2 linked regions of the Lytechinus pictus genome follow. The protein of the gene in region 1 binds, or shares a complex with, the protein of each later gene. Links are inferred from orthologs where the notes say so. Each region holds a gene or a part of one and is shown on either strand. Other genes may lie near its edges.

What was found.
Region 2: telomerase Cajal body protein 1-like (region 1) and H/ACA ribonucleoprotein complex subunit DKC1-like share a complex: the UniProt entries of both Homo sapiens proteins name them as parts of the telomerase holoenzyme complex. The link is inferred for Lytechinus pictus from reciprocal best matches to the Homo sapiens genes WRAP53 and DKC1.

Annotation. Positions count from the first base shown.
Region 1 is NC_087260.1:24,212,029-24,219,118, reverse strand, and holds the start of telomerase Cajal body protein 1-like, read left to right. Parts: upstream 1-4,086; 5' UTR 4,087-4,159; intron 4,160-7,090. UniProt on the Homo sapiens protein: RNA chaperone that plays a key role in telomere maintenance and RNA localization to Cajal bodies. Specifically recognizes and binds the Cajal body box (CAB box) present in both small Cajal body RNAs (scaRNAs) and telomerase RNA template component (TERC).
Region 2 is NC_087260.1:13,295,261-13,302,773, reverse strand, and holds the start of H/ACA ribonucleoprotein complex subunit DKC1-like, read left to right. Parts: upstream 1-4,493; 5' UTR 4,494-4,701; intron 4,702-6,031; 5' UTR 6,032-6,089; coding exon 6,090-6,105; intron 6,106-7,513.

The DNA.
Region 1 (7,090 bases):
CCGATCAGCTGTTTGAATACTGTTGAATAGCCAAAGTTTTTCTAAATAATTTCTTTTAAATACATTGGACTTTAATTTTAGGAACAATATTAGGTTTCGCTTTAAGCATGAATAACGCAAGCCGAAAAAGCGCAATCTAAATTTCGTTACTATGAAGAGGGCATTTGATAACCAGATAAACAGTTCGATCTGAAATCTTTGAAATACTCACCTGAAAATGGCATATTTTAAGGACCATCAATAAGAATACACAAAAGTAATTCTCTTAAAGCAAACTAAATGCGAGTGCGAAGCGCCAGGTCGAGCTGCTGTGTACATTGATATAAAACATTCAATCACTTTTATTGTAAGCTTGAATACGATATACATCTCTCTAAAAATAATGCAAACGAACAAAAAATAAATAAGTAAAAAAAAAATAGGTAGGGGGCAGACATGGCGCACCGAGGAATTTCATAGAAAGCTGCGAGCGAGCAAAAGTTTTGAACTTTTTATTTTTTGTGATAGATTTTGACTAGGGTCCTATGCTCCCTCCCCGCAGCCCCACCCCCTGTATACGCCAGTGCTTAAAGGAGCAGTACTTGTCCCAGTTGAATGTGGAATAAAATGTATTGAGTCATTCAATTTGGAAAATTATATTACCAGATATGGAGAAAGCAAGGGAGAGGGTATAGGGATTTGGGTGAACCCGTTTATTTTAACGAAAATTGAAGCACGGCACTTAACATGATAACAGGTTATCACTTTAATCAGATCGAGGTCATTAATTATTGTGACTTCATTATACAGGATATTGGTTTCCACTCGATATACTTTTGAAAAGTCAGAGAATATATATTTTCAAAATCGAATCCCATGTAGGTGAAAACCAAAAATCACCCATCAAAACCTACTCCCGTTTCAATCGTCTATGATCTACAAAATCATATATAATCGGGAAGTGAATTTGAGTTGATAGCCCATATCTATCCATATCGTATATCAGAGCCAAAATAAATCTACCCAAACCAAGAACATATTGCCTGAAAAGATAAATGAAATATCTAGAAACACCCAGTATCGTAATGAGTAAAAAAAATTGAAGGAGGCTAGGCGTGGTTTGGTGTAAAGTTTTTAGAGCTGTGAGCGAAGCGAGCTAGCAAAGATTTTGACCCTTTTAATACAAAAATCTTATTTTGTGATAGACTTTGACACGATAATTAGAAAGTAATTTCATATTTTACACATTTTCTTTCATTCTCTTTCGCCCCCTTTTTTTCTTGATCGTGAAAATTTGTTGGGGTCCATCCCCTATCTGTATATAGGCCAGTGGAAACACCATGGCTTGTAATGCACATCCGTCTCACATAAATTTATCATTTTTTGAAACTTAAATTGCTGAACTGTCACACACAGACTCCTACATTCCAACCTTATCCCTGTATAAATTTAACCGAACCTTTGCATTTATATATTATTATTTTTTGTTGTTCTTGAATCTGGCCCTAGCCTAGTTCAACAAATCCTTGCAGTGCGCTTTGCGCGCCAAATAAGTAACTCATTTTTCCCCGTGCCCCCATATTACGATCCATGGTTCCCCATTGAATATTGTATATCTTTGAAGAGATGATCGAATTCGTGACAACAAAACGATGGCGTACATAACCTTCAGACACCCCCCCCCAAAAAAAAAAAATAAATAAATAAAAGTGACTCATCAATGATGTGGCTTAAAGCGAAGAGGCGCTATCTTTTACAGTGCGCGCTTGCGAAATTTCTTCTATCAAATTAATGACCTTATGTTTCTCAAATCTCCTGAAATATAAGGCCTTATCTACTGAAAATAATGATGAAAAATTAAAGTGATATGATAAAATAAATTGTATTGGTTCATATATTCCCTTTTTAGTGAGAGCGCCAATAAAAACCAATCAACATCAAAAAATAAATGAATAGACAAAAAATAAATAAATGAATAAAAAATATAATAAGAAGAAAACAAGTAATATTTGACACTAAAACATGGCTTGAATAGCTTCTCAAATAATCTTAGGCGAGACAAGCTATTTAAAATAGACTGACTCAGAGTTAGATGCATGGGAACACAGTTGGGCTTTTCGGCTAGAATTAGTGACGCAAATCAAATGAGATGGCGCTGCGTATGATACATCTTCATGGCAATGATGATGACGGAGATGATGATTATGGTGGTGGTGGTGATGATGATGAAGATGATGGTGGTGGTGGTGGTGGTGATGATGATGGTGGTGGTGATGATGATGGTGATGGTGGTGATGATGATGATGATGATGATGATGATGGTGGTGATGATGATGATGATGGTGATGATGATGATGATGATGATGATGATGATGGTGGTGGTGGTGGTGGTGGGGTGGTGATGATGATGATGGTGGTGGTGATGATGATGATGATGATGGTGATGATGATGATGATGATGATGGTGATGGTGGTGGTGATGGGGTAGTGATGATGTGGTGATGGTGGTGGTGGTGGGGTGATGATGATGATGATGTGGTGATGGTGGTGATGATGATGATGATGGTGATGATGATGATGATGGTGATGGTGGTGGTGGTGGTGGTGGTGGTGGTGGTGGTGATGGTGATGATGATGGTGGTGGTGGTGGTGGTGATGATGTTGATGATGGTGATGATGATGGTGATGGTGGTGGTGGTGGTGGGGTGGTGGTGATGATGATGTGGTGATGGTGGTGGTGATGATGACAATGATAATGATGATGATGACGGTGATGATGATTATGGTGGTGGTGGTGATGATGCTGATGATGATGATTGAATAAGCGATTATACAACGGTGTGCTGATTTATCTCTTCTCTTGTATTCCAGATTTGAAAAATTTTAGCAAAAAAAAGTAAAATGTCAACCTCTGGGGTTTGGACGATACGAAAAAAACAAACTTATACTGCCCAAAATTACCTTTCTCTCCCTTCTTCATTCTTTATTCTCTTTTCTCCCCCCCCCCCATTTCCTCCTATTTTTACTATTTGAAAAAAAAATGGGGGGAGGGGTGTGCATGGCACTGGGAAGCGGGGGTGCTCAACACCGGCCCGCAAGATTTCGCAGCACCCCTGGAAAATAATGTGGTTGGTATAATATTAAGCTTCATTCTGGAATGAACCCCTCTTCCTTTTGTTTGTTCTTTTAATTGCTTGTCAAATTTTCCTTGATCAAAATCATTTACATTTTGGAGTGACAGTCGTTTTTTTTTACTTGTCAAATATTTCTTTTAAATGCTAGCACCCCTTCTTAGACTCATTCCAAGGCTCTTGGGGCGTCGTCCTCTGTCCCACATGACACTCGCAATCTGCTAAGCATTTTTTTTTTGAAAAAAAACAATTGTCTCGTTTGAGGAGTGAGAGATGAAGGGGTATGTGAGCAGCATGAGGAACTTCTTGGAGTTTAAACCGGGTTAAAACAGTCAGATCCTCAAAGGTAAATCCAATTAAGGACCCTTCAGGCTTGTTCATTCCCCCCTTGCATATTACAATGTCACTGTCCATTACTCATATACAGTGGAAAGCTGATGATTAGGATGCGACAAAGAGATTAAAGTTTGCTGCAATCAGCTGAGCATTAATGTCCGATTGGACAATAATTTCATTTCCTTTCCAGACCATTCATTTTATATATGATTTCTTTTACCATCCCCCAAAAAATTGAATGCACTTATCAGAACATCAGTTAGTGTATTTATTATCATACTTAAAAAAAAATCTTTGATCTGCCTTTTAGGATTTCACATTCAAGCAAACTCAGTCATACATCTATTCTTTATGAAGTGAGATAATAAGTGTATTACACAATGGAGAGCATGGCATTTTCCTCATCCTTCATGATCGAAACCCTTTTTTCTGTAAAATTTATATGTAAATTTATCAATTTTTCATTATATTTTTTTCGTTTTCGCGTTTTTTTGTTTTGTTTTGTTTTGTTTGTTTGTTTGATTATTATTATTGTTTTTTTTTGGGGGGATGACGTCTTATTTTACACTCCCATGCCCCGCTTTGTGCAGTTATTGCCCGTGTGACAATCTGATTTCGTTTTTCTTTTTGCTATTGCTAACTTACAAACAAATATTCCTCCAAGAGCGTTGGACGTTTTGACGACACCGTAATTGAACACCTTGTCTGACTTGGTAAGTTTAATGATATAAATTTATGATATTTACATAGCAAACGTACTAAAATTTAGTGTTTCATGCGAGGAGATTGCGTTAAGTGAATTTGTGTGGTGAATCAAATGGATTTAAAGCTACTCATATATTGTTTTTCGAGCCATGTGACAATTTTCCTGCAGATCTCTTTCTCACCTCAGTCCCATTCGTCTTCGTTGGTGTAAGTTCGTGGCGAGTGAGGCCTGGGGCTGGGGTGCTAATGCAGTTTCGCACCGGCCGACTTTGATCAAATTTCCCCACCAGAAATTGTTCGCAAATGTCATGGCAAGTCTCTTGGTCACATTTCGAGGCCAATAAACAATACACATTTCCACCGTTTTTCAAATATCGTGATCAGGAATGGCTGTACTTCGCTTTGGCTCCGATCTCTAGAGTCTAGACTATATTATATTACTACGGCATATTACTATTAGTATTACTGTATTAGTATTAGCATGATTAGTAAGTACGTCATCAAACTTCTCAATCTCAGTCAGACATCGCTTTTCTTGGCTTCGTTGTAATTTTGATAAAGACTGAAGTTAGCAACAAAGATTGAACTGCGGCAACTCACTCGTTTGCTCGCCAAATGTTTGCACAGTTTTGGTTATTAACTTCAGTCCATATTAAAATTATGGCATAGCCACGGCAATGCGAAGCGTTCACGATCGTGATAATATTCAGAAAAGCGGTGGCCTTGGGTGAGCATATGGGCGTGGTATATCCCTACAGAGTTATACAAGACACAACTTGAATCCCACCCATGGGTGCATTACTGCCGCCGTGCACGGTAAAATCTAGACCAAAAGCTTCGGTCTCTGTTATGTTGGTTGTTCAGCTGAACTCCGTTGGCTTCACTCACCAAATACAGAGACCGAAGTTCTAGCGCGATCTGTACAGGGGACTCAATGGCCATATGTTTATGTGTATTAAGTTCGGATAATACAGGGCAGTGAAGTTGCGCGACAGCCGAGGTAAGTCACTGTTTTTGTTCCTTTTAACTTGCTTTTCCCCGTTTTTTGGCAATTAATGCCAAGAGGGAATATTAATTTGCATTTCGGTCGCGGTAATTTTCAAAAGTTTGATTCATTAAAGACAAAAATTGAAGAGCCCCGACGGGGGGATTTTGCATTGTAAGTCCCCTAATGGTGGCTGCACGATAGCGAGCCGTCTGTGTATGAGGAGAAATAAAATAAAAAAAATGTTAAAAAAACTCCTCGAAACAGACGGCTGCCAGCTGTCTAGGTAAAATCAAGGCACGATGCATGCAACTCTCTATGAGCTGATCCTTCCACAGAATACATTTAATTAGTAGAGTAAAACAATTTTGTGATATTAATGCTTAGTTCTAAGCTAGGGCGGCCCGAATGCGCGTGAATCGAGTCCCAGTTTCCTAACACGGGTAAGTATAGGGGTGTTACCGATTGGGGTCAAACGCGGTTCGGTGTACGAGGTTAGTATAGCATACTCATACTTACTAACCTCGTACTAGTATGAGTACTTTAATCCTTGCTTGCTGCCTGGAGATGGTGTACCAACCTCAAATTCAGTGTTTATTTGCATGAATAATTTGTTGAACAGTAAGTGTTCAACTTAGATAATTTGTATACAAAAAATACATGAATATAAAAGGCTTTCAAATTAAATTGAAAATGAGCTTCTATTCATGAATAAACATTACTTTTTCTAAAGGCTTAAACATTCAGAGTAAATCAACTGAGCCATGGAATCAACATGAAGAAAAGAACATTGCAAATAGTATTGTATAAGGAATGCAAAGCAGGAGATGAAATGATGGCACTGAAGAGGGAATGTGAAGCATGAGATAAGAATGTAAATCAATGGCAAAAAGAAGCTGCTGAAAACTGCTTATCTAATAAAAGAGAGCCAATGGAGTAAATTATAAAGTCAAAAGGGGGCCTAAGCTTTCGATCCTAGCAGAATCTTCGTCGGAGGCAAAATGACAAACATATAAAGTGGAACAACCATAATATAGACCACAAACAAGCTACAGCAACACTAGAAACAAGGAGACAAAAGGGGCATTAGTGAGTAGAGAAGACCAATCAGGTTAGTGAAGGGGATGAAAGAAAAGGAGTAGGCAGACACAAAGGGAAGTTAGTGTAAGTAAGGCCAAGAGGGATTAAGATAATGAGGCAGGCAACATCAAACAGGATCTGGAACAAAACAGTGATAGAGGGATGAATAACTAGAGAATTGGTGAGAGGTGGGTCAAACAGGTTACAAAGAAAGGCTTAATAAACTGGTGCATAAGAGTGGGGGGAAAAAAGAAGAAAAAGAATGGGGAACAACTGATAATGTGCAAAAGACATATAAGTATATATGATAAAGCATTAAACAAACTAAGAGAAGAAGGTAAGTGTAAATATGTATCTATAAGTGATATGTATATAAATATATCCAAAAAAGAAATGTATATGAAAAAATATATAAATATATACACATATGGTGTAACTGATATGGTAATCCGCTAGGTGTGACGGGAAAAAACATAAGACTATATAGTAGGAAAGAAAAAAAATCTGTATATGTGAAAAAGAGGAAGCAAATTGCCTAAAAAGGTAAAAGCAAATATAGAGGAGAGGGGGTGTATTATGAAGAAACCATAGTATACATGTAAATAAGCAAATGTGGTAAATCTAAAAGAGGTGAGTGGAGAAAAAACAAATATATATATATATATATATATATATATATATAATAATAATTATATCGCCTGAATAAGGAAGGAAAAATTGGAGCTGAGCTTGTATGAGATATGGGAGGAAAGTAGAGTAAGAAACTATAATGTAACTATTCAAAAGAGCTGAGGGGAAAAATTATATGTATATATAAATTGAAAGTGGATAGGAAAGAAAAATCAGTCGTTCCCCTCTTGGATGTTCAGGCCAT
Region 2 (7,513 bases), about 11 Mb from region 1:
AGCTCTTTTTAAACTGTGATCCATATCCACGGTACCTCACAATTTCCCTACAAAGTGCTTGAAATACAGAGTTTAAATTGACCCTTTTTCAGATCGGAATATCATATATTTTTAGCTCGCGCTTTGCGCTCACTTTATTGATTTTCATAATAAGAAAGGTATTTAGAATACCCAAATTCTAGGTCAAAATCTGAAACACGCGTTTCACGTTTCTTCAGAAACGCAGCTAGTTCTCTATTTAAATCATTATCCAGTTTCAGATCACAGTATCAAAAATTGTCTGCATGCTCGCGCTTTGCGCTCGCATTATTAATGTAGGAAACTTTCCAATTAGGCCTACTCATCCTTTTCATGATTTACAAAACATGAATAGAGTGTCCAGAATTTTTCCGCTCGCGCTTTGCGCTCGCATCAATTGTTTAGTTATATACTTATCCTTTTCACGATTACAAAAAGTGCTTAGAATTTCAATTTTTCAGGTAGATATGTCAAAATTTTCAGATCGCTCTAAAAATATGTAACATCTTCATGGCTATAAAGCAGCCGTTAACAGATCCTTTTTTTGATCAGATCAAAACGTATATTAAAAAAAAAAAAAAAAAATTATGTTCGCGCTTTGCGCTCGCATTATTAATATAGGAAGATTTCCAATTACTCATCCTTTTCATGATTTACAAAATATGAATCGAGTGTCCCATTTTTAGGTTTAATCTAGATTTTTTCAGCTCGTGCTTTGTGCTCGCATCAATTATTTAGTTATATACTTATCGTTTTTCATTCTTCAGGTAAAAATGTCAAAATTTTCAGCTCGCGCTTCACGCTCGCATTATTTGATAGTTGAAATATGTAACGTCTTCGTGGCTAAGAAGCTGCCGTTAACAGATCCTTTTTTTATCAGATCAAAACGCATATATTAAAAATTTCTGCTCGCGCTTCGCGCTCGCACTTTTTAAATAAGGCTTATGATATTATATGAATGTATATACATATATAAAGCTTAGAAGTGACCATTAGGACTACTCGTCAAAGAAACAAACAAAAATTAACTTCGAGCGGCAGATCGGGGAAAATGTGGCTGAAAAAAAATTCCGCCCCCCTATTGGCGAAGGCTGGATCCGCCCCTGACATATGTATATATTCCATAGAGATATATATCTCTATGATATATTCAGAAAACTGATATGAAATCTGTGGCGTACAGATGGGGGGCTTGGGGCGCTTGCCCCCAATTTTCCACGACCAAGAAAAAAGGAAGAGAAAAGGAAAGAGACCGGGGAAAGAGAGAAGGGTGAAACTAATGGCTTAATAGATTAGGCCCTACATGTATAGGTCGACATGTAGGCCTATTTTGACAATATATATATATATCACAATGAAAATCGGCTATTTGGGAAACAATGTCTAAATTTTTGCTAGCTTGCTTCGCTTGCTCGCAATTTGTTATAATTTTATCTGATACATCATATCGATCTGGCCACTCAAATATTTATACTTACGCTACTGTTATTATTTTGTGCCGTATTTCACAAACAGGCTTTCTGAAGTCCTGAATAATATCGGTGGATCAATGTTATTGAAAATATAGAGCGTACAGGTATGTGGAAACTGAAACTTTTACCCAATGTAGGGATACAGGTAAAGTTAATTGCCCTATAAACAGAAACACCTTACCACCATGTCACAAAAGGTTATAGGTAATGATTTTATATTTTTATCATCCTTGGGTATGAACGAATATGCAACATTTAAGAGGGACATTTTGGGCTTAAAATTCACTAAGATCATACATATTTCAATGATGCGAGCGCGAAGCGCGAGCTGAAAATTTTTGATAATAGAACAGAAAAAGGGACATTTTAAGGACTGTTTTCAGTTAGGAATTCATGAAGAGCAGAATATCTCACCAATCCACTAATGCGAACGTAAGCCTAGACTGTGCATGTTTTTTTATGTGTATATAGACCTTAAAAGGGGGAATCACTTCAAGTATAGTCATGATATGTCACTATTATACACATGGGCGGAAATCCCAGGGGGGACAGGGGGGACGTGTCCCCCCTACCAAAAATAGTAGGGGGGACACAATATCAAATGTCCCCCCTACTATTTTTGGTCTTTTATGATGGAAAAAAATGCATCATTCACATTCGAAATAATACATGTCTTTTGAACTAAATGACCTTACATTTTGGGTGAAAACTTTTTTTTTGCTTGTCAAATTTTCCAGAGTGAATAAAATAAGATGAGGGGAAGACTTGGAAAATAAAAAGAATCTTTCATGTCACTATATAAAATTTTCGGTCGCGCTTCGCGCTCGCATTGCCTGTTAGGTGATTGTTCAACATGGATCTTAAATATCAAGTTTGGAAGTCAATATACATTACACATTTCACCTCGGAAATCGAACTTTCATTATTTTGTGTGATTAACAAACTGATTTTTAAAAGGTGCTCTGTTAAAATGATAGCTTTATGGTCTGAATATTGAAATTTTCTGCTCGTGCTGAGCGCTCGCAAATTTCGATTTATTAAGTACCTATTATTTTGCGCTCGCATTAATGGTAAAATTTTTTTTTTAACTGATGCATTCTATTCAGAATTACAAAAGTGCTTGAAATGTCCAGTTTTCAGGCCATAATATCATCAGATTCCCCCCCCCCTCATTAGGCATTAATAAATAAGATATTAATTTAATGATTAAATTGTCCCTTTTGTTTCATCTCGCGCTTAGCAAGAGGGATAGTAAGATAGTCATCATTTTCATATGACATGTCCTAAGGATGTCCCAGTCCTATGTCAAATCTCAAATAATAATGAAAAATATCAGCTCTTTATTAAGTACGATCCATATCCACCTCACGATTTTCCTACAAAGTGCTTGAAATAAATAGCTGAAATTAACTTTTTTTTTCAGATTGGAATATCATATATTTTAAGCTCGCGCTTCGCGCTCGCTCTGATTTTTCATAATAAAAGATGTGTAGAATGCCTAGATTCTAGGTCTGAATATGAAACACGCCCGCGCATGTTTATTCAGATACTCAACTTGTTCTATATTTAAATCGTTATCCAGTTTCAGATCACAATATCAAAAACTCTGCTCGCGCTTTGTGCTCGCATTATTAATGTAGGAAGATCCCCTATTACTCATTCTTTTCATGATTTACAAAACATGAATAGAGTGTGTCGTTTTTAGGTCTAAATCTCGATTTTTTTTTCCGCTCGCGCTTCGCGCTCGCATCAATTGTTTAATTATATGCCTATCTGTTTGAATTACAAAAAGTGCTTAGAATTTTCATTCCTTAGGTAAAAATGTCAAAAAATTTCAACTCGCGCTTCGCACTCGCATTATTTAATTGTTGAAATATGTAACGTCTTCATGGCTAACTACAAGCAGTCTGTAACAGGTACCTTATCCATCAGTTCATTTCTGCTAGCGCTTCACGTTCGTAGTAATTATTCATTTACATACACATCTTTTTCAGGATAGCAAACATTGCCCAGAATGTTCAAAATTTTAGGAAAAAATACATAAAACCCCCCCCCCCCTAAACAAAACCAAAAAAAAATTTGCTCGCGCTTCGCGCTCGCATTATATAAATATTGATTATGATATTATATATTTATGTTGATTTATAAGAATAAAGCTAAAAAGTGACCACGAAGACTACCCCTTTAATGAAACAAACAAAAATCATCATCGAGCGGCCAATCGGGGATTAAAATATGGCTGAACCCCCCCCCCTATTGGCGAAGGCTGGATCCGCCCCTGTGGTCCCCCCTACCTTTCGGGACAGATTTCCGCCCATGATTATACATAAAACAATAATAACTGTAAGTGCCGGGAAATATTTGGTGTATATTAATTGACTTGAAAACGAAATGTTTTAGTAGAACAGGACTATGTATCTCATTAAACAGATAATGCGAGCACCAGGAAGGCCAGGCTCTAATAATTATGTTTCATAAAGGATGAAAAAAAAGTAATATAATATATATAAATAAATATAATATAATACAATATGATATGATATGATAATGATATAATATAATACAATATAATATGATATACTATAATATAATATAATATAATAGAATAGAATAGAATAGAATAGAATAGAATAGAATAGAATATAATATAATATAATATAATATAATATAATATAATATAATATAATATAATATAATATAATATAATATAATATAATATAATATAATATAATATAATATAATATAATATAATACAATACAATACAATACAATACAATAATATACTATATTATATTTTGGATCAAAAATTTATCCTCTGGTCATTGGCTCAAAGAGCTTCACGTGATTATGTGTATTTTCAACTATTTTGGAATGTTGGCAGCTAGGCATACTATTTGGGAAAATTACGTCATTTTTGTGACGTAATTTCCCCAAATAGTAAAACTATTTGGGGAAATGACGTCACGGCGCCATACGCCTGATGCGCGTGATATCAAAATCACCAACATTCAGCGGGGTATACGAGAGCTCGAGTGCTTACCATGGGCGACTCTCGCGACGTGGCGACTACGTTTTTTAATGTTTAGACTACAGTTTATGCTTTGACTTTTTCAGACATTTTCATTGACTATTAAAACTTGGATTTCATTAAAATTTGATATTATTTAAGAAAAGAGCACAAGACCATCAGAGTGACAAGAGAGGATAAAAGGTAAGCCATTATTCTGTTTTTTCCTTTTGTTTAAAATTTTTAATCCAAAATATAAAACAAATATACTCTGCCATAATTTCGAGTTTCTGGTTAAAACTATGGGCCTCGGTGCCTCCAATAGTACCATTCACTTCGGGGCTGCGCCCCTCAGTGAATAGTACTATTCTGGAGTCACCTCTTGCCCATAGTTTTAACCAGAAACTCTCAAGGCAAAGTATATTTGTATACTATACTATACTATACTATACTATACTATACTATACTATAATATAATATAATATAATATAATATAATATAATATAATATAATATAATATAATATAATATAATATAATATAATATAATATAATATAATATAATATAATATAATATAATATAATATAATATAGTATAATATACAATAATTTCTTCTCCCCCACTACGTTTCTCTTTCTTTCTCCCTCCTTTTCTCCTTTTTTGGCCAGCTTGGGGGGGGGGGGGGTGCACGTGCCCCCGCGTAGTTACTCCACTGCGTAACGGTATGCATGCCGTGAGGAGTTGTGGGGGGAAGGGGGTAAAAAAGGTGTATTATCACTTGGTCTAATGCCAAATCGTCCATAAATATACCAACTCGTCTACTAGCTATCATTTGGTCTACCATCAGTTCGTCCACTATCTGCATTGGTCTAATTGCCATTTTGTTCACTCACCATTTCGTCTAATAACCAATTGGTCCAATCAGTAGTGGACCGTGACCCGGAGGAGACTAAGCATTGGAGGGGCACTGTATTGTTTGTGAACAATGTTGTGCCCCTCCAATGCTTTGTCTCCTCCGGGTCACGGTCCGCCACTGGGTCCAATAGCCAAAATAATAGTCCATATACCATTTTGTCTAATTGGAATATATAACGATGTTAATTGCACGAAATGAAAGAAAATTAAATGGATTTTAGACCAAATGGTTAAACGAAATGGTCAGACGATCTAGTGATGATTGGACCAAATGTTTTTTGGACCGAATGGTTGTTATAGGAGAAATGTTGATGGACAGAATGGCATTAGAGTAGACTAAATGAAGTTAGACCATGTGATGAGTGGACGATTGTGTTGCAATAGACGAATTGGCAATTTATATACCGTAAAAAGGTTGAGTGATAATACATTACACAAATCATAGAAGATTATGAATATAGATTTAGAGAAATAAGGTAATAATTTTCACGAGGAATTAAAGTATATCATTCATAAAAGAATCTGCTATCAAATTACCCCCCAAAAAAAAACAAGGAAAAGAAAAGGAAATAAAATAAAATAGAAACTACCATGTATTCTTTCATCACCGATATTTCTAGCCCGCAGCTTCAATTCGATGATCACGCCCTCTCCGTTGAAGTGCACTAGAGGGTAAACATGGATGGGAGTGCAGGTGAATATTCAATTAAAAATGCCTTAAATTGTTATTCATTGTATGATATACGAATTACTATAGTTGTTTGATGTGATTCAACATTATCATGAATTGTGTATGAGTTCTGTTGTTGAAGTATGTTGTATAAATTGTTGCGAGTGGGTTTTGGTGATCAACGTGGACGTGAAAAACGGTCGACCACGCGCACGTGGCTTCGTGAGTACCCGCTGCGCTGCATGGCTCAATTTGGATGGGCCAGCGGAGCGGGCGGGGACTGCATAAACTGGTGGACTGTTTGGTATAATGCTGTTGATTAACAATTGCGGGCACAATTGCATGGTGATACAATACTGAACATGCTGAAAGCACATTAATTTTCTGAATTTCTTGCCAGCCCCACACCTCCATTTAACTATTTTAAGTTAATTTTGTCATTTTTTTGCCAATTTAGGTTTCTTTTTACCAATTAAAAAATAGTCACTAGCACTTTTTAGCAGTAGAGCACAACGAACAATTGTCCATAGACTGTGTACAACGGATAGATCGTCTCCGCACAGCGATTCGAAGACCGCTGATTGGTCAATCGCGCAGACCACGTCATGACCACTTGGTCCCAAAAATAATTCCTTCGGACTGTGTGCCGAAGTATCGATAGCGATAACGATATCCGGTCACGTTGTGTACACGGAAAATGGACTTGGTCCGTGATCGGATCACTCCGGTATCGATCGAAAATTATCGAAACTCTGCAATTTCATGCATATTCACGCGACGCTCCGAAACCCGGAAGCCAATTGACTTTGAGTACGTTGCGATAGACTCTACAAATTCCAATGAACACAATGACATACAGACGCTAATTCGTAAGATTTTGACGGAAAAGCAAGAAGTAATCGAAATTCACTTACCTGTGTGGTATGGGTGAGAAAATAGATCCTCCGAAAATACCTTTCATAATTCATATAAAATATAGGAAAGTGAAATTCTAGGCCGATTTTGCTAGGAGGTGATAGAGAATTGCACACTTGTTTTGGTGGAATACTGTGTGGGGAAATGGAAGGCTTGCACTGCGCATGCTTACTATATTTTCATTCATAAATTGGCTCTCGGCAGTGGCTGGATGACGTCATGTAATAAGCAAAAATGTACACGACCGCTACGTTCACGCTCCGCTATCCGTTGTACACAATTGTTCGCTGTGTAGAGGTGCACGGCCAATATTATTTGGAGACTGTCTCCAATGTGGGAGATTATCTCCAATATCAGAGACTTTTGTAAAGAATTTGGGTATCCAATTTCCAGATTTCAGAGACAGTCTCCAGTTTTGGAGTCCAATTTCCTTTGTTTACATTTGCTGCAAAAGGATTAACTTGGCGGCAAATAAAAATGTGATAGGCCTAAGCAGATTCCTCATAAAAAATTACCC